2 linked regions of the Oreochromis niloticus genome follow. The protein of the gene in region 1 binds, or shares a complex with, the protein of each later gene. Links are inferred from orthologs where the notes say so. Each region holds a gene or a part of one and is shown on either strand. Other genes may lie near its edges.

Evidence for each region.
Region 2: the proteins of tln1 (region 1) and apbb1ip are in contact, whole or in part, in a crystal structure (PDB 4W8P), measured with the Mus musculus proteins. The link is inferred for Oreochromis niloticus from reciprocal best matches to the Homo sapiens genes TLN1 and APBB1IP. Residues at the interface, in NP_035732.2 of Mus musculus: Leu1492, Ala1495, Thr1496, Val1498, Ala1499, Thr1502, Ser1503, Cys1506, Asn1507, Arg1510, Val1526, Ala1529, Lys1530, Ala1533, Asn1534, Thr1536, Ala1537, Val1540, Ile1543, Lys1544, Asp1547; in NP_062329.2 of Mus musculus: Asn5, Ile8, Asp9, Met11, Phe12, Thr14, Leu15, Glu18, Met19, Leu21, Leu22, Ser25.

What each region holds. Positions count from the first base shown.
Region 1 is NC_031972.2:10,400,080-10,413,697, forward strand, and holds the start of tln1 (talin-1), read right to left. Parts: upstream 7,810-13,618; 5' UTR 6,992-7,809; intron 1-6,991. UniProt on the Homo sapiens protein: High molecular weight cytoskeletal protein concentrated at regions of cell-matrix and cell-cell contacts. Involved in connections of major cytoskeletal structures to the plasma membrane.
Region 2 is NC_031974.2:12,460,513-12,477,240, reverse strand, and holds the start of apbb1ip (amyloid beta A4 precursor protein-binding family B member 1-interacting protein), read right to left. Parts: upstream 6,745-16,728; 5' UTR 6,548-6,744; intron 33-6,547; coding exon 1-32. Other genes in the region: uncharacterized protein nell3, read left to right, coding at 10,442-11,084, 11,675-12,234, 12,563-12,629, 12,814-14,345. UniProt on the Homo sapiens protein: Appears to function in the signal transduction from Ras activation to actin cytoskeletal remodeling. Suppresses insulin-induced promoter activities through AP1 and SRE. Mediates Rap1-induced adhesion.

The sequences.
Region 1 (13,618 bases):
TTGGAGAAACAACATTTTGTTCAAATGTACAGTTGTTATATAGAAGAATGACAATAAAACCCACTTTATGCACAAGTTTTATAAATTTGCTGCAGTTCTTTAGTTTTGCCCAAAGAATTTACCTAAAGTTTATATTACAGCTGCAACGATTAATCAAGTAATTCGAATAAGTCAATTACAAAAAATTCTCGACACAAATTCTTTGCTTCGATGCTTCATTTAATCCACGGCTCTGTAGCGTGCAGATGTGTTAAACAATATATACCTGAGTTTTTCACCCGCATTTGTTAAATTTCTAAAAACTGACCAAAAAATACAAACGTTTTTAGGAGCAGTGAATAAAAAGTGTAAATAAAAAGTGTGACAACATTAGCCCACAGCCCCCAGTTCTAAACAGAAACACTGATAACACAACAGCAGCAATGTTGATGACACTGGCACAGTTTAATGTGAAAACTTCCAGATTAGACGGTGTGGGATAATGTTTGTGATCAAACGGATTAAAGATGCACTTCATGGCCCAAGCTGAACAATGCCAGGTGTAAGAATTATGCCTTATGCCTGTTAGCAATTTTAAACATATAAAAAAGTACAGAGAACTTTAAAAATGAAATAAAGAATAGGAGAAATATTATAAGTTAATAACAATTCGCAAGTTCAACTAATATCTGTCCACTTGTGAATACCACCTGTGCCTTACTTGTAAACCGCATGTGTTTGTTATTTTCCTGTGTAAATCATAAATCGTTGTCAATTTTACTTCCTGCATTAGTTTTCCATCCTTGATTGTATACCTCATGCTGATTAATCTCACCAACTGTATATCTGGTTACTTCCTGTTTTATTTTGAAATTTCTGTATGTCTTACACTTAACTTAGTTATACTTCCGGCCTTTGCTTTGTTGCACTACCACACCTGTTTCCAGTTAGCCACTGGTCTTAGTATATACAGCTCCAGCTTTGCACTAACCACTTGTCATCTGGTAAACTTGCTTAGTCAAGCTTCCCAGCATTCCTCATGATTTTGTTATTTTCCCTTGTGAACGTCTCATTTCCTTTTGGACAGCTCTATGGACTTTGCCTTTTGCCTACACCCTCCCAGAGTGGTTTTTACTCTGCCTATGTGTATCCTGCATTGGGTTCTCTTCCTGATTTTTACAGTAAGATCTGGCCAGTATGAACCCAGATGCTACTTTGTTTGCTGGGGAATTTTATGATTTTATCATTTACTCTAATCTGTCTTCATGGTGAATCGAAGAGAGCTCTTAGTTGGTATCTTAAAAAGACTATACTGAAAGTAGTGCCTTTTTAGACTGGTTATGTGGTCTTATGCTCCTAGCCATTCAATGCTCTAGCCTTTCCAAGATGATAAGGTACAACACTGGGTCAATCAATCAATCAATCAAAATTTATTTATATAGCACATTTAAAAACAACAGTTTTGATCAAAGTGCTTCACAAATTATGAAAATAAATAAATAAAATAAGACAAATACAACGCAAGACGAGACAAACATAGAAACCAACCAAATGATAATCAAACTATCTTACATCAAAGCCAGAGTAAAAAGATGGGTCTTTAAACGAGATTTAAAAGACTGAACAGTCTCAGAAGAGCGAATGGCAATAGGGAGGTTGTTCCACAGTCTAGGAGCTACAATAGCAAAGGCACGGTCGCCTCTGGTTTTCAACCTAGACTTAGGTTGCATTAAGGATTATAGGATTATACAGATGAAGAAGTTCTGTTAAATAGCTGGGTGGCTGAAATGACTGAAGCTTCCCTGCTCCAAAGCCCCATGGAAACTCAGCTGCCCAGCACTGCAAGTGGACAGACTGACTCGACTTGTACCTCTCCTGTTTCCACATCTATCACTGGAAGGTCGTTCGAAAGGCAATCAATGGTTCCCATGCTCTTGTGTCATAGGCAGCTACTCATTCTTGAGTAAGTGAGGTGTCCCAACTAGCTTTCCTGTATTTAGGCAGCTCATTTGAACTCACCTATTCATGATCTGATCTGATCTGATCTAGGGTAAAGTTTCCTTTTTTCCTTCGGCATCAAAATTGGGATTTGTTCTAGAAAGTTAAAAACAAACTAACCCCTCTGAAAGGATTTTCAAAAATGTGGTTTTGGACAGCATCTTGTCTGTTCTGTATCAATCAAGAACCCTACCACTGCGATGAATAGTGATCCCTTCCTAATAATATGCCAAAAGCACTTTAGAAACTCCCACCTGAAACTTAGTTTTAGGTTACCCTGATAGTACAAAATGCCCAGCATCCACACTGACCAAGACATACTAACATCCATAGAAATAAGCTTCTATGTCAGGGGTGTCCAACTCAAGCCCTCAAGGAGGCCTCAAAATGCTGCAACAAGAGTACTGATAGGGACTAGAAAGAGAGAGCATATTTCTCCTGTATTGGGTTCCCTTCATTGGCGCCCTGTTAAATCCAGAATTGAATTCAAAATCCTACTCCTCACATACAAGGTCTTAAATAATCCGGCCCCATCTTATCTTAGTGACCTTGTAGTACCATACGACCCCATTAAAGCACTTCGCTCTCGCACTGCAGGCTTACTTGTTGATCCTAGAGTATTTAAAAGTAGGAGGCAGAACCTTCAGTTTTCAGGCCCCTCTTCTATGGAACCAGCTTCCAGTTTGGATTCGGGAGACAGACACTATCTCTACTTTTAAGATTAGGCTTAAAACATTCCTTTTTGCTAAAGCATATAGTTAGGGCTGGATCAGGTGAGCCTGAATCCTCCCTTAGTTATGCTGCAATAGACATAGGCTGCTGGGGGACTCCCATGATGCATTGAGTTTTTCCTTTTCAGTCAGCTTTTTCACTCACTATGTGTTAATAGACCTCTCTACATTAAATCGGACTTGTTATTAATCTCCGTCTCTTCCACAGCATGTCTTCTATCCTGTCTTCCTTCTCTCACCCTAACTGATGGCCGCCCCTCCCTGAGCTGCGGTTCTGCCGGAGGTTTCTTCCTGTTAAAAGGGAGTTTTTCCTTCCCACTGTCGCCAAAGTGCTTGCTCATAGGGAGTCATTTGATTGTTGGGTTTTTCTCTGTATGTATTATTGTAGGGTCTACCTTACAATATAAAGTGCCTTTAGGCGACTGTTGTTGTGATTTGGCGCTATAAAACTAAAATTGAATTAAACTGAATTGAAAAGGGGCGGTGTCCTGCAGGTTTTAGATATCACCCTGGGTCAAAAAACATCAAATGATTAGTTCATTAACAGGCCTCTGGAGAACTTCAACACATGTTGAGAAGGCAATTTAAATCAGCTGTGCTGGATAAAGGACACATCTAAACCTGCAGGACACTGGCCCTTGAGCCCTGGACTTGGACAGTCCAGTTCTATGGGAAGTGCACTGAGCAGTGTAGACAAAAGGGCATCACCCCAATCTACTTCTATCAGGATGATGCTATTTTGAAACAAATATCCAACACTAGTAATGACAGATGCTTTCACTGAGCTGAGCAGACTCAACACAACCATACAATCAAGGAGGCAACTCTCCAACTTACTGTCAAAGTCCCACCAGAACAGATGTTTGCAGAAGTTAACACAGCTCGACTAAAGGCATCACATAAACTATTCAGAGTGTGTATGCCACTGCAGCTATCCTGAAGACATGTAGACACATGTGGGTAGATCACACTTGCAGGTTAGACAATTTTTTTTTTTTTGCCACTGTGGCCCCTACACTGTGGAACTCTCTCCCCCAAGCATTAAGAACTGCGGACTCAGTAGCTGTTTTTAAAAAACAACTCAAAACTTACCTTTTTAAAACTGCTTTTGGTTAATTTTTTGCCCGTTTTATTTTCTCTTTTAAATCTTTTTATGACTTGTAATCTTATGTGCAGCACTTTGTGATTCTGTCTTGAAAGGTGCTATATAAATAAATAAAAAATTAATTATTTATTTATTTGTTGACCAAGAAATTAATCAGCAGGAATATCCCTAATTCTGTGAATGAGGATATGCTCACTTTTCTTAATTGCAGCAACAACATACTCACTCATTGCACATTTAAACACACAGGCTGTGTCCAAATTCAGGGGCCGCATCCTTCGAAGGACCCGGCCTACGTAGACCAGGTCCTTACACATGAACACACTCCTCTTAATGTTTAAGAAACCAGTCACCAGTCTGATGCAGGGCTGACATTAAAACGTAATTTCTAAAAGGGAAACCAATGAGTAGTTAATTTTAAAACACATGTGTTTTTTCTTTTTTGAATATGAATGTGAAGTGGCCAGGTGTTGTGGCTGGAAAACAAGCTCAAACCATCACCCCCTTCTACCACGCTTAACAGTTGGTGAGATCCTGATACCATGTATTTGGTTTTCTCCAAACGTGGTGCTGTTCATTGTGGACACACATCTCAATTTTGGTTTTGTCTGTCGGAATGACATTGTTCCATAAGTCTTGTGGCTGGATGAGATGCAAACCTAAGCCATGCTGTCATTCCTTTTAGAGAGAAAAGGGTCTTGGCAGCCCTTCCAAACAAGCCATACATGTTCAATTTCTTCCTTATTTTAACATACTGAGGCCTGTAAAGACTGAGATGTAGCTCTTGTGTTTTTTGCATTTTCTCTAAACAGTGCAGACTCTACCCATGAGTTGAATTTACTAGGACATTGACTCTTAGGAAGATTGGGAGCTGTCTTGAATGTTTTCCACATGGGAATAGTCTTTCTAAAAATGGCTTTAAAACCATTCCCCGAGTGGTGGTAGTTTCTCTAAGATCACTGATGATGTTTTAGCATTGCGTTACACACCTATTTTTGCTTAGTTTTTTTTCCAAAATAAATAATGACATTGTATGTCATGTGTTCATCAAGTTTTATTTACATAATTTCAGCACCTGGTAAGGACCTAATAATTGTTTTATTATGTTCTCATATGTAAAACTTAGAATTCACCTGGAGCCCATTCTCCATACATGGATTAATGTTTCTGATGTATCAAATTTTTGAAAATTTGGCATAATACCAGCCAGTATTACAGTTAGTGTGATGCTATCACAAGATAAGATCTGTTTCTTTCTATTCTTTATACGCATTTCATTTAATCATAAACCACCCAACAACATTAGGGTTTTGTATGATTTTGAAATTAAGTAAGAGCTGTATTTTCTTCCAGTCTCCTCATTGGTGTGACTGAACTCCCCAGGCATCTCACACAGCCATGGGAATTGGCTCATGTCTAAAACAAATGATTTCTTGTGGACTAGTGGCTGCACATGTTGTCTTGACCAAATATGGCTGAGTTAAAACACTACACTCCAACCACGGCAACACATTGGAATGGAAGCAGGTTTCCTTAACTGGTGTGAGAATAGTCCATGATACAACTACCAAAATGGGATTTTACTCTGTTACCTGAATTTTGTATGGCTGGTAGATTAGCTCAGATTACTACACAGCATGGCCTGAACCTTGAATACTGGAGGCCTTTCTTCATTTCTCTACAGCCCAGATCACAGTGCTTCACCAGTGTATTACATGCATAGTGGCTTGGCAGTTAAAAGTTAGCTTCAGCTACACATGTGAAGCTGGTTAATGAAAAAAATCCACACACACACAAGACATATAAGACTACATCAACTAACAAAGAATCTGTTCAGCTAAAAAGAAACACAACACTCAGGAAGGCAAAGACAGCACATCACAATAAACTGGATTATTGGATTTCTTTTTAGTTCCAGTTTACGTTTTGTTCTTACTTTTGTAAGACCTCATGATTCTCTATCTTTATCTCTTGCTCCCCCGCCTCCCCTTAAAATAGTTAGATTTTTACTTATTTATTTTAGCTGTGGTTGTGGTTGAAAATGTGCAGTCCACTGAGAGCATGCCATCTTGTGCATATATTAACTGTTCCCTTATATGTGTTCTAGTGTCAGATAGTTACCTAACATGTAACAAAACTCCTTATTTAATGAACACAGGCTGATCTTTACAAGTTCAAAAAGAAGGTGAAACATTTACTGAAGACATTAATTTTCAGTGAATGATAAGTGTTTATTTATCCCAAAATTTGGGAAATTACTGTGTCACAGCAGCATGATATAAAAACATAGAATAATAGAATATCAAAATGTAAAGATGTAAAAATCTAATGAGATACAAGTTTAAATACAAAATCAAGCAGTTATTAATTTTTATAACATTCTTTTAATCAATTAATGTAATAAGCAATTTAACAGAGACAAAAATGCTTTTGTTCGGTTTTTAGTTTATTTATTTACTCATTTTAGGTGAGCCTGTCTAAAAATGTACAGCTCTTAATTCTTCCAGGCTAGTTTCAACAGGCCGTCCTTCAGCCTGTAGAAAGTACCCTTTGTTTTTTCCTTTATTGCTCGATGGTTAGTAGACATATCTGCATCCAAATGCCTTCATTGTGTTGCACAACACATCACAGCGGTGTAAGAATTTACACCCAGAGGCGATATTTTTTCTTGTTCTAACAGCTGCATAACACGCCCAGGACACTTATGAGCGGCCTACAAAATGACTGTGATGAACTGAACTTGCATGCTGTAGGTCAAAAGGGGAACAATACAGCTGCTAACTCCTTTTAACTTTGACACTAAAACAGTTTCATAGTACAAAGGTAACTTATACACATCTCATCAAAATGCGCGTATTGTAGGGAAGCATGAGAGGACAGCGACATGGCACACAGAAAATTCAGATGTGTGTGCGTGTGTGTGAGAGAGAGAGAGGTGGTCTGTCTTTTGGCGCTTGATACTTTCGATTCGTCTCCCATTTGTGTGATTTAACTTCTGGGTTATCATATACACTACCGTTTATCCGCTCTCTACATTAGAAGGCCCAAGTCTGCATACGTTTACTAATCTGTCTCGCTTCCATGTCGAGTCTGTGGTGACGTCAGGGACTTCGCGTTTTTAAAAAAAAACGAAGAAAAAAGCTAGAAACTTTTCAAAGTTAGAAACATTCAGTCTGACCTGGGCGCGTTAATCCACTCTCGTCGACGGCCACTCAAACACGGAAAAACAGAGCTGATTTAACGATCCTTAAATTAACTCCCGACAACAAATAAAGTTTTCCACCAGGGGAAAGGCCAGAAGACGACTTTTTCTCAGTTCCTCTCCCTATCCCTCGGCAGCGGCTTGCGAAAAACTCCACCCTGGCTCAGCGCGTCGACGCACAGAGGGGCGGTGTAGAGTTCGGGTACTGTTCTGCAGCAGACGAATAACACTGAGCGTGTTTTCATACTCTTCTATTTTGTTTCCGAACTCTGTCTGTCTTGTTTTCAATACTAAATCAACTTAATTTGACTCTTAATGCCACGGACTGTGCTGGAGGAGACCGCGGGGACGTTCAGATCTGCTTTGCTAGGGTTTCCGGGTAGACAGACATGTTTCCTTCAAACGTTGGCCAGCTGCATTTGAAGTTGCCCAGGCTGGTTCGGTGGGTGTGTCAGAAGTGTCAACATCGTCGTATTATAAAGCTGGTTTGTGCACGAAACGCTGGGGCCACATAACGGTAAAAGTGGCAGCTCCATGAAACTTCAACTTATCTTACTTTTTCTTTGGTCTGAACACTGCTCGCATCCGGCTGTCATCACTGACAGTGACGGAACCGAAATCCAGTGTTTCTCTTCTGTAGCCCTCTTTTTAATGTTCTCTTTGATTAATTTTTTTTAAAGTTTTTAAAAAGCTACTATCTGCAATACAAACAATAATAACAAAATAACATTGAAGTCTAAGGTGGCTTTCTTACTTGTCATTCCCTGTCTTACAAAGCTCTTGAACCTGTGACTTACCGGGATTACTTTCTCACCATCTGCAAGGATATATAAATTTTCAGTTAAAAAATAAGATTTCAAATAAAAACTTTAGTTTTGTCCCTGTAGTTTTACAATAATAAAAGTAAGATTATTTTTCTTTAAATAAATCTTAATCACATATTAAACACATTTCTTTTGTCTCTTTATTATTATTATGTTATTATAGTATTATAATATTATATTATGTTATATTATTCAGTCAGTGTCAATGGTCACTCAATATTAATTTGCTGTTTTTAGGGAAAGGTATATTTTCTGTGATTATTGCAAGACATCTCTAATGTTCAAGCTATTTTTAATACAAATGTTCTGCAAATTAATATTAATTAAAAAGATGGGAACTGTAAAAACAGATTCTGAATACATATTAAATGCTTCAGTATGCAACTCTGCAAAGCAAGTAGTAGTGGCATAGCCTTTTTGCGAATTAAGTTTAGTGAAATGTTATTTAAAATCAGTGAAGGAAAATGGATAGATGGCTATTTCTTCTGTCAAATAAGCAACTTACTAAAACAAATTAGTCATCTATTTTGCCACTGAAACAAATATTTTGTGTTCTTTTATGGTATATTACTTTGGATAGATGTACAGAAATAACAGAAAATTACCGTTGTGTAAAAACATAGACATTTTCCATCATTTTATTGCAGTTTTACTGCTTTAAGTAACCTAAGATCTTGTATATTTCTGCATATGTTTTATGTTAATTAAAAGCTATTTACACATGTAAAAACAATTACATTAGCATTGTTACCATGCACACTCAACATCACGAGTGAGTAGAGTTAGTTTAACAGCTTAATAATTAGCTGACAATTCAACTACAGTGTTGCAGTTAGTAGTTAGAGGATTTAAAATATAATAATTCTCCTTATTATTTGAAAAAAATCCAGGAAATATTGGCAATTTAGAATCTAATCAAAAACTAGATTACTGAAAGCCTCTAATAGCCAACAGCATTGTTGAATCTATTCTAAATTTAATGCCACAGAAATGATGCGCAATAAATCCCACTTTCCGTTTATTTGTGATCCTTGCAAAATCATAATCACGAATTCTTTAATCTATTAAAGAGCATTAAAGAGGAAGACACATTGTTTTCTGTAGTGTGAAGTATATATGAGTCAGGAAAACATTAGGTGTTTCCACTTATTAGAACAGGATAACAGTGTGTTTGCATTTTAATCTGAACTTAACTTAAGATGATTTTAGTCTTTTAGTTAATCAGTCTATCTCAGCTCGAGCCTGTCCTAGGGCAAAATGCGGGGTATACCCTGGACAGGTCGCCTGTATGTCACAGGGCTAACAGAGACTGAGAACCATTCACACCCATCACTACAAGCCTTTGGACTGTGGGAGGAAGCTGGAGCACCCGGAGAGAACTGACACAAACACAGGGATGCAAACTCCACACAGAAAGACCCTGGCCTGATGGTGGAATTAAACTCAGGACCTTCCTGCTGTGAGGCAACAGCGCTAACCACAGCACCACCATGCTGCCCGCAACAGTGCTAACCACAGCACCACTGTGCTGCCCACAACAATCCAATTCTGATAACTAACCTAATTATGAGAAATTTCATGGACTGACAAGACAAAAGTTGAACCTTTTGGAAGGTATGTGTCCATTACATTTGGCATAAAAGTAACACAAGTAACACTTCAAAAAGGAAAAATCATACCAACAGTAAAATATGGTGGGGGTAGTGTGATGGTGCCATTTTGCTGCCTCAGGACCTGGAAGACCTGCTGTGGTAAATGAAACCATGAATTCTGCTGTCTACCAAAACATCCTGAAGAAGAATGTCCATCCATCTGTTCATGACCTCAAACTGAAGCGCACTTGGGATCTGAAGCAGGACAAAGATCTAAAATGCATCAGCAAGTCCACTACTGAATGACTTAAAAAAAACCAAAATGAAGACTGGAGTGGCCCAGTCAAAGTCACTACCTAAATCATATTGAGATGCTGTGGCATGACCTTTAAAAGGCAGTTCATGCTGAAAAGCTCTCCAATGTGGCTGAATTACAACAATTCTGCAAAGATGAGTGGGGCAAAATTCCCTCACAGTGCTGGGAAAGAATCACAAGCGCTTGATTCCAGTTGTTGGTGCTAAAGGTTGCCCGACCAGTTATTAGATCAAGGGGGCAATAGTTTTTTCACATTGGGTCATTTAGCTTTGGATTTATTTTCCCCTTAATAATAAACACCTTCATATAGAAACTGCATTTTCTGTTTCCTTGTGTTATCTTTGTCTAATATTTAAATGTGTTTGATCTGAAATATTTCAGTGTAACAAACATAAAAAAAGAGGAAATCAGGAAGGTAAACCCTTTTTTGTTACACCACTTTATGTTCAATTTCTCAATCACTTTGCTATATAAATAGTCAAATGATGACAAATATGAGGATGGTAAATTTATGGCAAATGGCCTGTATTTGTATAGCGCTTTTACTAGTCCCTAAGGACCCCAAAGCGCTTTACACAACCAGTCATCCACCCATTCACACACACATTCACTCAATTTATTCAAATTATGCCAATCTAATGTATGTATGTAGTCACCCTCATTCTACAGGAATAATAAAGGATTCTTCCATGACAAGCAGCTACAGGAAATTTCTGATGGAGGTTCCTGCTTCTAAGAGGTTGTCAAACTACAAGTTACTGAAATGAAATTGTTTGGCTGCTTTCTGCTTGCACTGTTTGCAACAGAGACCTAAAAGTACATGTGTAAATTTGTGTAAATTTAACTACTGAATTTAATTACAAGATCAGACTGGGCTTTCAAGAATCATAGGACAAATTACTCAAATTCCAGAGGGTTTACAAAGGATTTCTAGCAGCTGTCTGTACGGTACCTATATTTTTTCCCTTGAAACACTGATTAGATTGGATGAATGTAAAATTCAGATTTCTTACAAAGGGCCACATCACAAGAAGACAACCTTGCAGGTACTGGCTATAATGTTTCCATGACAACATTTTTAAATAATCTTCTTTCCCCTTTTTGGTTTCTGTAATAGACTGAACTGTTTGTGTACATGTTGAGGCAATAAATGACTTGCTAACTATTTAATTCTGTAAGTGAACAGTGGTTTAGAAAATGACAATGAATGAGAATGCAACCAATGACATTACCCAGTTTAATGAATTAGACTGCAAATATGAAGTTTCAGCTAAAGTTCCCTCTGTCCAAGAACATGCCTTTTCTTGTCTGACCAGTTTCTCAAATTCACAGAAAGTTCTTTGAAAAATGGAAAATTACAAGCCAGAGACAGTTTGATATTTTTGATTTATTTATCAGTGAAATGTTTAACACTATTAAACATTTTCTTACAATAACCCCTCAATAAATTGATTGGTGTCTCAACAAAATAAAACCAGGTATGTGTTACAAAGTATACAGTATGCTACAGTGCATATTTTCGTTTTTCTCTCTTTTTTTTTTTTCTTTTTACAGATTTACATTGGGTTTTAGATATTTGGCTCCCGGAATCAGAAGTTTAAAGACAACACACCATTTGCCTACTGGAAAAAGCTCCTCTTTATATAGCATCATTTTGCCTCGTGTTCAACTGTTCTGGTTTATGATGACCAAGTGACATTGTAAAGTCAACGACTTTATAAATAGAAAACTGATGTAATTAATACAACCAGCAGAATACGGGTAGCACCTCCATCATATGCTGTGACAGCAGTACAATTTTAAATCATAAAAACAGGTGAAGCATACTCTGCGGGGGGTTTTTTTCATTAGAGAAAAACCTGAAGTCACATCATCACTGGTTGGCAGCTGTCAGAATCAATCATGCTATGTCTATGTCTGTTTATGGTTCTCCCAAATATAGCTGTTCATGAAATATAAAAGTTGAAATAAAGGATAACTAAAATAAAATATTGTGATAACAGACTCTGCTCAGGTTTACTGTCCTGCAGTAACACATGAAGACAAGGGGACTGTTTGTAGTCCTCCACTAATGGAGATTTAATCATAATTTTGCACGACACAGCACTTTCTGTTGCTATTCATCTGATCTCTATTGTCTCGCATAGTTTCCAAACTGCTGGAACTTTATAACTCTCCGAGTAGGTGCAGAGTACTTTCAGTTGCTGACGGCTCTTTCAGATCCAGCCGTGGCTGCAGGCATACGAGGCATCTTCTTTACTGGACTTGGGATGTGCTGAAAGAAGAAAACATAATCAACATCATGAAAAAATTCATTACTGCCCATATGTTGAATTTTAACAGGTTAGATCACTCTGATTATATGGGAGAAGCAATGCTGCATGTGCAGGAGGATTCTTTCGTAGATGGGCAAAAGGGCTTCAGTATCTTGTCTAGGTACACCAAGACATGCAGAGAGAATGCTGATAACTCCACATTTATGTTTTACATAAACCGTCATCCATCCAAGTGCCCAGGAACACTTTTCAGGAAGCCAAATGGTTCCTTCAGACCACTGCTTGTTTGTTTGCATTTACACTGTGAAAAAGAACCATCTGACCAGTGTAAATCTGAGATGACAATCACTTTGGCTCAGAAGTAAACTATATTGCCAAAAGTACTCACTCACCCATCCAAATCACTGAATTCAGCTGTTCCAATCACCTCCATAGACACAGGTGTATAAAGCACCTAGGCATGCAGACTGCTTCTACATGCATTTGGGAAATGATGGGCCGTTCTAAGGAGCTCAGTGAATTCCAGTGTGGTAGTGTGATAGGATGCCACTAGTGGAATCAAGTCCATTTGTCAATTTCTTTCACATTCCACAGTACGCCCTTAGTGGTATTATAACAAAGTGGAAGTGATTAGGAATGACAGCCACCAAGTGGTACGCCGTGTGAAAATCTGAGGATGCTGAGGTGCAGAGTTTGCAACATTCTGCAGAGTCAACACCTCCAAACTTCCTGTGGAAATTAGCTCAAGGACAATGTGCAAAGAGCTTCATGGAACGCATTTCCCTGGATGAAAACTCATCCAACCCTTTCACCACCAAGCGCAATGTGAAGCAGATCATTTGTTAGAGCAGTTGAGACGTCTTCTCTCCAGTTACGAATAACAACTCTCTGTTTGGCAATTCAATGGACAAGTCTGGGTTTGGCTGTTGCCAAAAAGAACTTTTTTTGTCTCACTGCAATGGGCCGAGTGTAAAGTTTAGTGGATTGGGGATTATGGTGTGGGGTTGTTTTTCAGGAGGGGCTCAGCTCCTTAGTTCTAATGAGATGAACTCTTAATAATTCAGCATCCAAGACATTTTGGACAATTTGATGCTCCCAACTTTTCGAGACCAGTTTGGGGAGTGCCTCTTCCTGTTCCAACATGACTGCACACCAGTGTACAAAGCAAGGTCCATAAAGACATGGATGAGGGAATTTGATGTCAAAGAACTTGACTGAGTCCTGATCTCAAACCTATAGAACACCTTTGGGATGAATTAAAGAGGTGATTATGAGCCAGGCCTTCTCCCCCAACAGCAGTGTCTGACCTCAAGAATGCAATTCTGGAAAGGGAAGTGTCTAATGGGGGTTTCTGCCACAAAGAGTGGACTGACATTACTTTAAACTAGATGGATTAAGAATGGGATGTCACTTAAATTCATATGCATGTGAAGGCAGACAAACAAATACCTTTGGCAATATAGTGTATAGGGATGTGCATGACTAGACAACTACAGGAGTAATTGTCACTACTGTCACTAGTTGGTACCAGATGTACTAGTTGTTTAATGTAATTGTTTTCAATTGATGCCAAATATCAGTAAATTGTTATCTTC
Region 2 (16,728 bases), on another chromosome or scaffold:
ATGGCGCTGAACATGGCGTCAATGTCGTCCATCTGGTGAAAGAATCAACAGTAGAATCAGATATAGAAATTATCATTATTTCCAATGTGACAAAATATAATCTTTATAATATGTATTAATGGGCTGCACTGATTAATGAAGATGAAAGAGACGGTATGTCCATTTGCATGGGTAAAAGCAAGTGCAGGCAGTGAGTGCTGATACAGTGCTACTACTTTACTGTGAAGTATTTGCAGATGTAATATGTTTCCCCAGGTTATGATATATTGCGAAACATGTCCAACCCAGACTTGAAGGAACAAAGTGTGTATGCATAACTGCAGGCAGTCATTATTTGCCAGAACTTGTTGTCTCTTGTTGGAGCAAGTCAGTGAAGCAGTGAGTAAATATTATGTTGCCTTTTCTGTCATATTCAGAGTTGACTTTTTTAAGCTGTCAGCTGTGTTCTTTAGTAATCTGGATTTTAAAACCACCAATATGATGATTTTAACTTCTTTTAAATGCCATCTTCCAGCTGTTTTGCTTTAGATTGCTACACAGATGCCAAATTAAACCAGTCCCAGCTTTTTTTAAGGGAAGCAGTCGGTCTCGTGTACTGAAATCATGCTTCGTGTTGTATGATGAGTGTTTGTTTGAATCGTTATACGAAGAAGAAGAAAAACTGCCTGCAACATACCGATGCCTAAGGAAAGTGGAAGAGCATAAAGTATGCAAGCTTCCATAATGTGCTTAGCTCGAAATTGCTCTAAACTGCTGATCAAGTTTCAAAATGGACTCATACATCAGGCTGGTACAGATTTATATACATCCCCGATGTGGATGCATGAAGCGAATTGTCAGCATAATGAAGGTTATGTTTTTCATTTTAAGCAGAGTAATAGCCCGAGGAGCCACCGTGGTCACTGTGCCTTTTTGAAAACTACTCCGAAGGCCTCGCTTGAGATTTACATTCGTAATTATGCACAGTAGGCCGTCTCCCCTGCACGTATTATTTGAAGCCTCTTTTCTCAAAGCAAATGTTATGATGGTCTGGAATGTGCAGTCAAAACAGTCCCTGTTTTCTTATGCTGGTACATGAGTGGTACCACAGAAACACTGAAGGTGTCAATGGGAGTTCATCCAGTTAAAGTGGTGCTAATGGTAGCTTACTTTATACTGGTTACATGTGGACTCTCCTAACTCTTCTGCTCCCAGTATAGCATGTTTCTGATAACAACAGCTGTACCACAAATTAAGTGCACCCCATAAGTCAGTGAATTATAGAACCACCTTTTCTATAATCTAATAACTTTACGTTATTAGCAGCAATAATATAACATTATTTTCTGCATGACTTTATCAGTCTCTCATTGATAAAGATGCAACTTTGGCCCACTCTTCTTTACATCATTGCTTCAGTTCTTTGAGTCTGAGGACACTCATTTATGCACAGCTCGTCTCACCGCAGCATTTCCATCGGGTTGAGGTCTGGACTTTGACTGGGCCTTTGCAACACCTTGATTCTTTTCTTTTTCAGCCATTCTGTTGTAGATTTGATGCTGTGCTCTGGATCTTTGTCCTATTTCATGACCGGATTCGAGCCAAGCGTCATGTGTCGGACAGATGGCCTCACACACTCGATCATACTTCTGTATACAGAGTGGTTTGTTCAGATGCAAATTTTCTAAACTAAACAGTGCTGCCATGCTGTTTTTAGATAGAACAGGCTTTCTCCTGGAAACCCCTGCAAACAAGTCTTTTGCTAACTTATGCTAACTGACATGCTAACTGTGGTAGAGTCTGAGGTGTAGCTATTTTTGGAGTTTGTCTGAGTATTGCATGATCTGACATCAGGGTGATGGTTTGCTGGGAAGATTATTTAAAAGATCCCCTTGTGAATAATCTTTCTCACTGTAGATTGCTGGACTTCAGAGTGTGTGGATATGGTCTTGTAACCTTTCACAGGACAATTAAACAACTGCTTCTTTAAGATGACCGTTGATGTCTTTTTTCCATTGGCATTGCATTAACACAAACCTGAATAGTCCAGATCTGCTTTTATAGACGTGCTCACACTTGCTCATGATCAGTTAATCAAATGCATTTGGTTAGCAGCACCTGGCTGCTACTTATTAAGATAGCGGCAGTGGCCTACTTTTCACATGACTGCAAATATATTTTTACTCAAGGCTTGTTAACATAAGGTATGACTGGGTAACTGCTGAAGCTGTCACTACTAAATTAATTGATTAGAGGAGTTTCGTGACCAGTAAACCATCCGGACTCACTGGTTCCACCTTCTCACGTTCTACTGACCTGAATGCTACAAAATAACAAGAAAACATTTGCTTGTGCCTGATTGTATTACCAGAAAGATTGCAATAAAATATATATTAGTCATGATCCCCAGAGGATTAATCACAGATTTCCATGACTTTTACTACTTATCTATTAAGTATCTACTGAAGAGATTGAAGGGAAAGATATAACTATTCTTGTTTGACATGCAGACTATGCAGTTATTAATTAATTAGAATGAGTCTGAATCTTTAGTACATTTAGCACCATCATCAGGTCAAAAGATCTCACTGGTCAGAACTTGTACATTTGTGAAACAATATAAAAGAAGAATATGTTCAATTAATGCTTTCAGACAGATCTTATCCTTCTAACATTCTGAGATAGAGTGATGATAACAAACACACCCAGCTCATCTAAACATCTCAATGTGAGTCAATGTGAAAAAAACAGCACCACTTTGCATAATGTTTTATAAAGGTTACTCAATATTGTAATCTGACGTCACAACGATGTCAGCATGGTGCAGCGCAGTTACTGACTAACACCTGATTCACTCTTAATATGTTCATGGTCAAAGCAATAAAACAAGTGTGAGCTTTTTTTCTTTAAACGCTTTTTAATCAAGACATCTTACCAGCTAACCCAGGTGTTGCTGGTTTTACTTATTCTGACAGACTGTGATTAACCTGCATAAATATAAGCTTCGGTTCACCTCAGGTCAGTTATAAATTGCTGGGGTTAGTCTCAAGTTTGGTGTGGTTAAACTGATTAAGAAACCGATGAGCTGTACTTGTTTTGTGTCTCAGCCAGATCTCATATTGCAAGAATGCTTAGCATCACACTACCCTATTATGGTGTTTTTTCAGCCTCTGTATGAGTCTTTAGAGGGTGACTAAGCATGACAACGTGTATGAGTCTGTTATGTAATGCATTTTCTTCTTATTTCTGACTGGTTTTGTAAATTAAGCACTAATTAAAAGCGTTTCACGGGGCATGCAAGAGGAAGGCTGGGGGTGGCTGCAATCTCTTTTGTTAAACCACCCCTGATCTAATTTGTTTAACTCATGCAATGAGATTCTCTGCACAGATGTTTGCATTGCCATCCTCTAGTCTTTATGTTTTCTCTGCTGCTGTGGTAGCGTCCATTAGAGAGGAAAATATTGGGCGATTCTGCAGAGTTTAACTCCCTGCTTTCACTCGTCACAGTGTCTGGAATGTGTTTAATGACATTTAGATCCAACACGAAAAAAATAAATTGCTGGAATTTAATTAAAAGACACAGGAGTACATCTCTCATTGACACTGTGTAGGAGACAAGAGTGACTGATTGTGTTCCAGGAAAGAGTTTATACAGGATCAATACTGTTTCAAACATCTAACAGATGCTGCGTGTTGGAAGCTCACGAGAAACTGTTAATCTTCTGGTGTCATATATCAAATCGCACGGCTCATAAACTGAAACGCCTCTGCGCACTGATAGAATTTGTTTGCGCACCATAATTTCCACGTGACGTACATATGTGGGGCTCACTGCTATAGCACGTGAGCGCAATCCTCCACCTTTTACACAAACGGTTTACCCCCAGGAGGAAGTGGTAACTGGTAAACTTCCTGGAACTTGCAATGTTGAAATGGTATCGGAAATGGTGACACAAGCAGCTGCCTGCAAATTTCATGGTACTGTTTCCTCAGTTCTCATTATGTCACTTTTTTTCACCTATACGTGGTCGGCATAAGACGTTTCGAGTAAAAGAACGCACCATCTCTGAACGTCTGGTGCTACCTTTTGTCAGTAGTTTTAAAGTCACTGAAAGAGAAGTTTAGTCAGTCGATCAGATTTTGCTGGGAGGCTGTGTTTTGACACCAAATGCATGAAATGAACCGCTCCCAGATTAGCAAGGAGAAGTGAGAAGCGGCAGGAACAGACCGTGAAAACAAGACGGCTTCCGCTGGTGAAAACAAATTGACCCAATTTTAAGACACTCCCTCAGTGCCTTAGACATGTGCATTAGTGGAGTGATATCTCAGACACAACGTGAGAAATGGACTTCTTCTGTGCTATTTGTAGGTGTGATCCTGCACCTGATATACAGATAAAGGTGTTAACCTCAGAGTCATTGCAACGCCACTAGTATGATTATGGGTGGACTAATTAGGTTTACTCAAATGTGACCTTAAGGACGGGGGATTCTGAAGCTTGAAGGTTTCCTAGCTTTGTTCAAAGGTGACCAAATCCACCTTTGAAATTTAACTTTTTTTTAAGAGAAACTAATGAATATAATGTACTCATGACTTTATATTTTCAAGCTTTAGGGGATGAGTTTGGTGTACTTTGGCAGAGCTTACCTAGCTACAGTAGCTGTTTGTGAATTGTAAAACAAGCAATTTGTCAAACACAATGTTGACACGTTGTGAAATATACCCAACTTTAGCATCTACTTTACTATAAATGGAAACATAATGAATAAAGTCAGTGTTGTATTATATTAAATGAGGCTTTAAAGCGTAACATTTTGCAACCAGAGGAGTCGCCCCCTGGTGGCTACGAGAACAAATACGTTTTAGATCTGATTATTTGTACAGTCTGTGGAGTATCAATCGACTATTCTCAGAAAACACAAAAAATCCTACATTTGACCAAATACTCAATAATACCTCACAAGGAAACGGCCATGATTAAAGCACCGTTTAAAATCAGACTTTTAAAGGATTTTTAAAGAAATCTGGCCAAAGATTTTATCATCAGTAACCGGAAAAAACTGGAAACTCGACAGCTGAAGACCAGAACAACTAAACTATTCAAAGTCACCCCAGTGTCCTGTTCATGAATGAGTAATAGCTCTACAAAGAAACCAAACTAATAACACCAGGAATTTTTCCTCTGCAAGCTCTGTAGCTTTATGTGCCTTTCAATATATCAATTTACCGCAACAGAGTTCATGTTTGTGAACTTCTAGTCACATTTTCACACTTTCGATTCACAAAACTGTGTCACTGTCTCTTCACACTTTTCACTATTCTATTGTCAGACAAGGGGCATTTGTGACCAATCGGCGTCCTTAAATGTTATTGTTGGGCATCAAATGAGCGCATTGTGAAAAGTGGCAACTGTACTGTTGTACTTTTTATAATAAAAAACAGCAAATCTAAAAGCACCTTATAGCTTATAGCTTCTGCATTCCTCTAGAACACCCCCCTCCCCCCTTCCCTCCCCCAATAATCTCAAATATATGTCTCAGCCTTTTACATGCCACACATATGTAGCTCCAGGGTAGAAAATCAAAAGCAGACATCAACTCCAGTGTTTACCATAACATACAGAAACTCTCCCTCTTATGATCAGATCATATTTCCGTGCTTGGCTCTTAAGCAGATGTGTTTACAGGACTTGACTTGACTTTTTGCAAAGTAGGCAAATTAGAGGTTGAGTAGCAGGCACAAACCACTGAAGAGTATGAAAATGAATAATCAGAACCCTAATGTTTGCCGAAGCAGGTTTCAAATCAGACTCAAACCTGCTACAATCAGTACCCTTAACAAAATGTCTTGCTTAACATCTCTAAGAAACAGCAAACACCCCCTCGACTAAAAGCCTTTTAATCCGTCGCTCTGAAAGCAACGCGTTCAGTTATACTCATAACAAATTCACTTCATATTTTTGTGACATGATTTAACGTCAAAAATGCCAAAAGCCAAATATACAAAATGTTCCCGTCATCAACAACAAACTGACAGCACTATTAACTTTAATATAAGAGGCCAGCCCTATTAGTTTCATGTGGTTATTGAGTCATACAGCACTATGAGACGATAGCGGGGTCCACCCAGTTGGAAAGATATGAACTTACATTCTTTTCACCAAATTAAAACATTTATTTATTTATTTCATGGGGAAAAAAAATCTTCTAATAACAGTTTTCTTTAATTTCTCGTACTATTAAATTTAAAACCTTTTGAGAGTTTTTATCAGAGCGCGCTGTAACTCACAAACTTTGACAGGATGTCTAAGATTATCATCTGCAACATATCTCTACATAGCGTTCTCAAGCTAAATTATTCTGCTGTAGCTGAATATACATATATTACAAACAAATCTCTCATTTATTTTTTGTTTGTTTTTCAGCACAACAGCGACCACAATCCTCACTTGTAATGTGCTCAAACATCAATGAACAATGTTCTTGCTCTGCGTTCAGAGGAAAGCAGCTTCGGTTGTTACCGTTATATCCAAAGACACAACATCCAAGTTAACAGAGATGAAACTCACCTTTTTAAAATGTGTTAATCCTTTGTTTCGCCACTAAGTTTCAAGATAACAGCTTCATGGACATCAGTTCCACTTCGAAAAACTAGTCTCTAATTAAGCTTGACACCAAAAATTAATATCACATGCAGGCAGATTTTGGGCGTGCGAGTGGATTGAAGATTGCATTTGTCTGACTGTTGGCTTCTTCCTGCTTAATGCGGAAGTTCAGGTCTAGACCTGTCATTGCATTCCTACTACAGAGTTCAGCACTTTCACAACACTCTTGTCTGGGCAGCGTTGATCCATCCCCTCCTTAACAGTGCTCCTTATCTGCACTGTACTGTAACTGTGCCAACGGGGGCAGAGAGGGAGAAATCATAAATGTGTTGTGGCTTCTCACCAAGACTTCGAGGGTGACTGACAGCCACTCGAGCAGATTGGGAAGTTTTTTTTTATTGAAAGAAAAAAGAAATGCTTCAGTTGGATCGAGAGAAAGGCTGAATCAGCGGGAGGAATGTGACGGGTCTTGGTTAATAATTCACCTCGCTGAAACTGATTTACAGCAAGTCTGTAGACAGGAGTGGCATGCTGTAGTGGTGAAAGACACTTCAGCTGGGCTTTACTTGTCTAAATTCTTGTGAGAAAATACACTCGCCTAAATGAAGCGCATTATTTGCTGTACAACCTCTAACACACCTCATAAATGTAAGCAGAGTACACTAGAATACATTAATTTACATGAAATCTTAGCTTCTACAGTTAAAATCAGGAAGAATTGTCTTAGGGTAATGGTGTGGTGCAACAAATTCAGTTATCTTTAGGAGGAACCAAAGAGAGTTAAACTGTCAAACTATGAATAGCCTCTGGCTCTGTTATCTGACCGTGCAGACACAGATAGCTGTATTTATTTGCATTTCTCCTTGAGTCATCTTGGGAGGCCAAAAACAAGATTTCTGATCTCTTTTTTTATCCTCTTTCCACCTTAAAGGGAATTCACATACAATATAAAAAAATGAATACAAAATTATGCCTAACAGAACAAATTATCTTCATTTTTACTAATATTGACACTTCTAGGTCCCATTTCCCCTCAAGACCAGCCTGAGCCACGACAGCAAAGACAGACCACCACTGTGGCAAAATCCCGTCATCATATGGTAAAGCTGAGCACCACAGGGAGAAATCAAATAACCTTGAATGCTTCCAAGAGTCTTTCATGACTCGTGATGTATTAAACAAACACCCTGGGTACAAGCATGTGTCCCAACCACCCTCATTTCCTCATTCTCTCAGGGTTTGACAAACAGATGGACACCAAAGGCAGCCTCCCATTAGCTCTAAACATCTCCCAAACACAAGCACGCCGGTGCCTCGGAGAAGATTTCTCAAATAAATACACTGATTAACGGTTGTGGAGCTCGGCAGCAGAGAGCGAGGTGATTTTTTTGTCTGCTCCGCCGTGCGTTTGCGCTCTCTCCTCGGAGACTGAGGGTGGTCCAGGAGAGCTGATTCTGATAATGGTTTTTGCCAGCATATGTTGCAGCTCATACATCACAGCACCGAGCCAAGAAGCTGAACGAGATTGTTATTTTTTAGTTATTTAATCAAACTGTGCGCTTAAAGGGGGGATCTGCAGTGTCGAGCCTTGAGTTCTACTGCACAAAGAAAAGTCTGTTGGCTTGAAAGTTGCAGAACTGCATATGGTAAGGTGTGAGGTGTGGAGCATTCTTTTTAGCCATTAGTTTGCATTCTGAGCGCTCCAACACACCTCGAGATACATTTCTTGTGCCTGGGCACTAAAAGGAAATGGGGTGATAATGACAAAACCAGTGGGCACCTTGCAAAACGATATGTAGTGCTGCAGAGGAGAAACCGTCACTGAGATGATGTGAAAAGTGATGCGTACAGGAGTCTTTTAGTGCCCTCTGTTTGTTCTTTGCTGTACTGTACATGCCAAACATGACTGAAATCAGTGGGAGGTGTAAACCTGCCAACCTGCAGTTATTTTCCCCACTCCCTCTTTGTGGTGCAATAATCAACACCGCAAGTTTGCACCGGGATAACAAGCAACTGCTAGCTGGATGTTTTTGAATGTATATGCAAGAACATACAAATGGATTCCTGATACAGCCCTCCTTGTTCTGCTTGGCTGAATTTATTTGCCATCTGAGGCCAATAAATGAGTACAATGAGGTTTGCTATTGTTAACATGGGCTAGGATGACTGCTGTGACTGGCTGAGTCGAAAATGTGAGCAAAAACGCCCAATATGTGACATGGAAAGACAAAATTAAAAGAGAAAAAGCCTTGATTATGTTATAATAAAATCATAAGATACATTTTTACCAGCATTAAACTGTTTAATTGTACAGTGTGATGTCTTTAATCAAATTTACACTGCTGTGTGTTATAGAATACAAGCTTTACAGTAAATTACTGCCATTTGATTGGCCGTCATTAGTGAGTAAGTTAGTAACCTTTCGTCTTTACTTTGAAGATGAAAAGTTGCACTCTGGACGCAGCTACTTGTCTTTCTTGAGTTCTGCCTCGCCTCAGCTCCTCACCTCTTTGCACCAGATGGGTACAGGAAATCTTTTGGATTCAACATTTTTAACAGCCACCCTGAATAGAAACGGTGGCTGGATGTGATTAATCGCTACAGGAGCCTCATTCATGGTGGCCCCTTTCCTTTGCTAAACCCTAACTCTGCTGTCAGTCACACAAACACTGGAAACCACATCCACACAAACATGTCCACAACAATCAAAGTCTTAACCCAAAATAACACCTCAGAAACCCTGAAACAATAATCGCAAAATGTATAAATGAGTGATGTAAACTAAAACATGGACATTTCTACGAGTCTGTACCCATGATGCTGTAAAATATCCAGCATTCTGCTTTAAATATTCCGAAATTTGGCTAAATCTTGAGTTATTCAGTTAAATATGATCATACAACTTTTGAATCTATTCATTTGGCTCCTGAACCTTTGAATAAGACAGTAATATCAGAACTGCTTAACTAATCACATCCATGCAAACATCATCCTCAGATAACCTTATGTGCTTGTGCAGAAGCACTAAAAACAAAAAAAGGAGAGGAATTGGGAGCGAGTCCAAAACCCAGATGTGTTTTTCACATTCCTGACTTCTGCCATAGGTCTCTTCAACAAAAGTTTGACCTCTGCTCGCTTTGTCTATAAAAAGGGTTGACAAGGCCAGTGCTGAAGCACGGAGGACGCTGGGTCGAGGACCAGCAGCTGTCTCAACATTCAGGGTGTGCTAAACAAAAAGTACTGTATGTTTTTGCAACTCAGAGGGCCACAGGGTCAAAGAAAAGTCAACAGTGAGCAAAGTGAAAAGATGAGTTACAATTAAAATGCATGTCATTTTTTTTCCCTTTTGTTTATTTGTTTCAGGTTGAAATTAGGGATGTTTCAGTTTCAGGCATCAAAAATGTTATTTTATTCTTGTTCTTTCAAAACCTTTTACTTCAGAGGGGAACTCAAGGGAGAGGAGAGGGTGAAGGGTTAATTTGTAGCTGGGGAAACCTGATGCTAATTAAGTCTCAGGAATGCCACATACACTGACATTGTAGTGCCGAAGCCCTCAGAGTGGGTCAGGCATGGAGAGAGACGGCAGTAATGCGTGAGTCCAGTGTTTTTACTCCTTTGTGACGGTCGGGAAAAGCCAGCCTCACCAAACCCCGGAGCTGAAGGTAATGTGCACAGATGAGCTGCCAAGTCTGTAAAGTTTGTTTCAGTTGTGTGAGAGGTGGCTTTAATCAAGAAGGAGATCAGTGATGGCTTGAGTTATCACCTTTGAGATCTTTTCCTCCAGGTTTTCCATTTGGGACTCTTACCTCGCGTTTCCTTCTTTTGCAGGCAGAGTAAGCCCACATATTAGATGCGAAAATGCTTTTACTGACATCTCTGCTGTTGCTGCAACTCTCCTGGGTATCGCTGCACAACGCCGCGCAAGCTGTAGCGGAGATTTGCCGGGGGACGCACTGCTATGGCGGAGACACCGGTGATCCAAGACCGTGCACCGGGGCGCACTGTCCGGGGAGCCGATCTTCCAGACCCCCGCGGCAGTTTAACCCGTCAACGCAGGGGAAAACGGCTCATGTAGCCGCCAGCCAACACCGCGTGTACCCGAGCTCTCCAAGAGCGGCATCGGAGACTTTTCCAGGCGCCCAGCTGCTACTGCGCGGGCGGCACAGCGACGGCAGCACTCGGAGGAGTGCGCCTGAAGTTTTACCTGCAGGATGCACCGATGCGGAGTGCGCTGTTCATGTGAAACAATTTCAACCCAGCAATGACACCCGAGACTGTAAAGGGATCGAGTGCAGACTGCCACTGAGGATACGGCCAAAAGCTCGAGCAGTGGCTTGTGTGGGAGAAGGATGTCTGGCCGGTTCAGAGGAGAGCGTGCCTCCTGTACATCTGTCGGACAGAGCCTCGCAGTTTCTGGGGGATTTTCCGGAGTTTGAATATCCATCGTCGGAACTTGGCGCAGCGCCTTTAGGTGTCCAGCTCACATGTGATATCAAGCCAGGTCTGCTATGTTCATCAAAATTCTCATCCAGCATTCAAATCAAGAACGTTTTTATTTATTTTACATTATATTATAAGCTCCTGCATGCCAGGAACAAAAAAAAATATCCAGACTGTGCACATTGTGACTCTTGACAATTTCCTTAAAAGTGACATGTCATTACTAAAAGCTGTGCGTCTATAAATAACACAAATGCATGCTACTCTTTACTGACTTACAATCTCTCACCAATAATCAACACAAGAGTGTTCTGGAGACAAAGGACAACTTTGTTGACCTTCAGCCTCCCCCCACAAAAAGGAAAGAAAGAAAAGAAAAGATACCTGCAGGGCAAAGAGTAGCTGGACTGGAAAAATGTCTCAGAGTCAATTGCCCAGAAAATTTTGAATGCTTTGATGTGGCTCCATACAGGAAGCTTTTAGTAGGCTACACTTGCCTGTGGCTGGCTATGCAGCTGGAGTCACAGGCTGTTCACACTTACTGTCAGCACTGTTTGGAGAAGTCACACCTCAGTACAAGGCTTAACAACATCTAATCGATTTCTTCTCCCTGTTTTTCTTTCCCTTCACTGTGCATTTATTTCATGACAGGAGAGAATGAAGTTCCTTCAGAAGATGCCCTCATCTTGCACCTCCAGCTGTCCAAGGGGCAGGAGAAGCTTGTGGAGGCCCTGAGAGCCCAGCAGATTATCATCCGCGATCTGCAGCAGAAGCTCGCTGACCAACAGGAGGCCCTGCTGTCGCAGCAGCGTGAGATCCTGCAGCAGCAGCAGCGAATGTATGAGCAAATGGATGTGGTGAAGGCCCAGTACGGTCTTCTCTCAGACACCTTCAAACAGGTTTCCTTCCAGGGCCTGAAGGGCGAGCTGCAGAGCTACTTCGAGAGCCAGCTGGCTGGACTGCAAAGCCAAGCCCGCAGCCACCTGCAGAAATCCTACGCCGTCCACAAAGTGGACATCAACTCTAAGGTGATGGATGTGGTCGGGGAGGCTCACTTTCCTCAGCCTCTCCTGGGATGCCCTTCACCCTGTGGATCAGAGGAGTACTGTGACTTTCAAAAGGACCCACCTCGGTGTGAAAAGTGCACCATGTGTCCACCAGGTTTCTTCCTCGTCTCGCAGTGCTCTCCAACTGCGGACAGAATGTGCCAGGTATGCCGTCATCCGATGTGTTGAAACAAACCGAGAGCAAAACAGGAAAAAAATGGAAACAAACAAAAAAAAAGTGTGAAGCGGTTTTAGCTAGTTGAGGTTTCACGTGGTGGTTTCCAGTTAGTGGTTTCCAAGCGTATGCCAGCATACGCCAAAATCCAAACATAGCTGATGTGGAGGTGAGAATGTTTATACTTTTGAGCCTAGATCGCTCATCTCATTTATTTCCTGATCAAGTTTAAATGCTTCACAGAATGCATCAGTTAAACCCAGTTATTGTTGTACAGGATACACTCATGGTGATGCTTTTAATTTTCATGACTTGCAGGACAGAGACGAATGCCTTGAATTACCAAATATTTGTGGAGAGCGAGTGAAGTGCCTTAATACTCCAGGTGAGTTTGCAATGCTTATTTTGCTGATAATTAATGAGTCTTTATTCCTTATTTTTTCTCTGTTATAAAAACTTTTTCCACCACTTTATCTAAAACTTTATTTGCACTGAGAAAACAGCCACACTTTACTGAGCTATGTGTCTATGCAGCTGTCAGAGCCTGTTTGGGCCTTTTTATTTTGCAGGGGGATTCAGGTGTCTGGGCATTTCTGAGAGAGACGCAATAATGGGCTTGTGCGGTCATGAATATTTCTACAACCAGGAGCTGCAGGAGTGCCAAGCCTGCTCTGACTGTGATGGAGAGCCTGTCACCGTTCCCTGTACAGCAGTCAGTGACGCCATCTGTGGCCAGCTTTCGGAGACCCGGCTCTCTGAGTCTTGGATGGCGAATGTGGCAGTTCCCCCCGCCAGGTCATCTGGCACCCACATCTTTCCTGGGCTTCAGCTAAACATACGAAGCAAAGAAAAAAGCGATTTGCTGTCCAACCAGTTGGGCCAGTTGACCTTCCAGCAGCACGGGCTGGTGTGGTTGGATCATAACTTTGCAATTAAGCACAGTTGCAGGAACTTCCTCCAGTTGGGGATGAGGCTAAATGGGAGCCAGGAAGAGGAGGGTAAGGACCTCAGCGGTGTTCGCATCGAACAACCGGATGGGAAGTATTTCCAGGGGGTCAGCGTCAGTACCGGGGTGGAGGTGGAGCCTAACCACACCTTCACACTGCTGTTGAGGAGTCCAAATCAACACTGCAATCAGAGCAAAGATCTTCACGTGTACGATGCCGCAGGGCCCTCTTTGAGTCTGCTCTGGTTGTCTCATGATACTGGTGCTGTAGCTATGACAGCTCAGATGTCCCTGCTGATGCACTACCAGACCAGCTACCGCCCAACTTTCCGCATAACCTCAGTTTCAGACCCCTACATGATCAGCCTGACTCATGACAACCGTGGGGTGCGCTTCACCGAGCGCGGAGTGGTCAAGTTTGTCCTTCAGCAAGCGTTTTACTCCATGGGGCACACCTGCATTCGAGAGGGTTTCTCCTTGATTGCCTATATTAACCGCAACGGAACCGGCCAAGAGGTGATGCAGAATTTTAAGACTGGTGTTAATTACAGGGACACTTCCATTACACTCTCTGGTGCTGTGAGCGTGGACAGTGGAGACATGCTCAACTTCGAGATCACATCCCCGTCTCAGTGCAACGTCCGCTATTTTGGGGACAGCACTGGAATCAGTATTTTGAGTCTCATCTGGATTCCTTCAGCAGTGTCGTCAGCCTTTACAGCGACTGTGTCCAGGACCGGTCTTCCCTTTGGAGCGGTGAGGAATAAACCTCTATTGTTCCAGCAGATCAGCCCAGATACACCGCAGGTCCACTTGGCCCGCTCTGGGGAGCCAAACAGCCGGAAGAACTTTATATTCCGCGAGAAAGGAACAGTGAACATAGCTCTCAACCTCAAGCTGATCCACTCTTGTAATATAGTTAAACTCACTCTGCAGCGGGTAGGGGGTCAGGGCAAGCAGGCTGGTCCTGTGGCTCAGCAGGTGTCAGGATCTATGCCTGAAGGAAGCGAGTGGGCCAGTGTAGGGCTGAGAGCCTCATTTCAGGTCCAGAATGGCACGGCTCTGTACGTCACGCTGGACTGCATCCGTGGACGAATTAACCAGATAGCACACGAGGGCGGCACTAACATTTCAATTCTCTGGGTGGCAGTGTGATCCAAGAAGGGGCTGAGCTTTTCTCATCAGTACATTTTGTGGAAAAAGACAGTTTTGCACATGTTGAATTGCAGAGCAGTTTCAAAATTCACCAAAGGACGAATACGGGCTGATAAAATGTAGTCTTCTTTTCCACATATCCTGTCACATTATCTTTAATGTATATTTCTGCACCTGTATAGACGTTTATGATTACTTTTTTTGTAGGGTGTAACACTTAGATGCTAAAAGTACTGCTTTTTGCTTGAAGTACTTCGGCTGGTTGAGCAGTGACCAATTCTACATCAAATGTCTGAATGTGTGAGTGTGTGTGTGTGTGTCTGTATGTGTAAATGGTGTGCATACTTGGAAATGGTGCTTATGTATGTCTGTGCGTATGTACACACACATTGGCATGTCTACTTTTGCATATGAATCATTTAATATGTATATATTAATACTTAACATCCATATTGTATTAAACCTTTTTGTATTGAATTATGAGGTTGTTAAAGCAGTATTTTAACATTTTGGGAAATGCAGTGAACCATTTTCTGGAGGACAGTTTCATGAGTGGACCAGTGCAAACCTAGTGATTAGTTAGCACAAAAACTGCAAACAGGGGAAACAGGTGACCTGGTTTTAGCCAATAGTATGGAAATTTATTAGCATCTCTAATACAAATCAGCATTTAACCCAAGGAACATTCCCTGCTTCATCCATCTGTGTCTACAAGGCATAACCTTATTATATTCAGTAGTGATTCCAGTTAGTGTAGTTCTTTGAAGTCCAGCTGAAGCACGTGTAGTTGCATTTGTAGTTTATCTCTTGTAGTGTAATGTCTCTGTGGACTAGCCGAAAAGCAGATCCACACAGAACCTTGCATTCAGTGTCTAATAACAAAATTTATAGAATTCATACACAATATGTCTGTGTAGGTTCTCAGTCGTCGAGGTCATGGTAGTCTTAAGTGCTTGAAGTGAACTAGCTCATGAATGAGGTTTTACCTGTCATCCATTATCTCTATCTGTAACAAGTTAGTGATGGGGGGTTCAGCAGCCCGTAGGACCACAACTGCAGCAGTTAAATATCTGTGACTCTCCATCAGTTTTTAGAACCGACTAAGCCACTTGGATGAAAGGTAACATGTCTTCTTTCATCAGAAAGAAGTCATGTTACCTTTATTTCAAGCGCTTTAGGCATTCTAGCCAGGTGAACCTTTGCATCCTCACAGACACAGAAACTGTAACACCTTTAACCTATCAAATGTGTTAAGTCACAGCATTGCGTCGTAGGGTACCCACATTTTGGCACTGCTCTAGGCTAGCACAGAAAACCTGGAAGCATATAAATACACTTCAGTTCCAACTAAAATGCAGGCTGGGGAGGTGTATGTTCTTGGCTTTGATTGGTAGCGTCTTGGCTTGTTGAACTCACTTGGCAAATGCTCAGAGTTAGGAAATAATCCCTCATAAAGCAGCTAAATTACACATTAGCTTTTGCTGAGACTCCGTTAAGATGGATGTAGTCACCTTGACATCATCAGCTGAACTTTTTACCTCTTGTTTCGTAGTCTTTTTTTAGCGTCTTGGCACCATTGTGGTGGAGAAGTCTGGTTCAGTCCCTTCTAGCTAGCAGAGATAAACAGCTAATAGCTACAGCTGCCTGTGTTGGCATTCACCTGTAGCAATTCAGTCAGCATTACACAGATATCATGAAGGGGCACCAACTTAGGATGTTATTAGTCTGTTTAAAGGACATCAAAGAAAACCAGTTTTTGCATCAGGCTGTGAACATGTCTACTGTGAATATGTGTTTTAAGTAGGGAGTTGAAGCTAGCCTCGAGGCTAATTTGAGGACCTGGAGTTTCTGGCACTTCTACAGTAGCTTCATTTTTTTCAGCCCTTGACGGCTCTGCTTTTTTGTTGTACAGATTAAACAAACACAATTTAACTTGTAAATCGTTGAGCTTTGACAATACTGGCAGGCTGTTTTTTTCTAAACTACTGCACAAAACCAAGCCAGCTGTTTCCCTCTGTTTCATTCTCTGTGTGTAGCTAAACTAAGCTAATTTCATAGATAACACAACGATATGAGAATGCTATCATTGTTCTCATCTAACTTCCTTTCAACATATGGTAATTTGCTGAAATATATAAAAACTAGTCTCACCAAATCTATTGTAGTACCATTTAAAAGAGCAGGGATTTAAAAAAAAGAAGAAGTTGTTTTTGGTATTTATTTTATGAAGCAGGACCTTTGTATTCTGCTGTGGAATGCATATGAGTTGTCAGGTATGATAAAACAGTAAAAATATGTATAGTATGGAGTAAAGCACTGAGTAGACATGTAGTGATAGTGTCTGCTTGTACACATATAGTTTTGCGTAGTATTATGGAATATG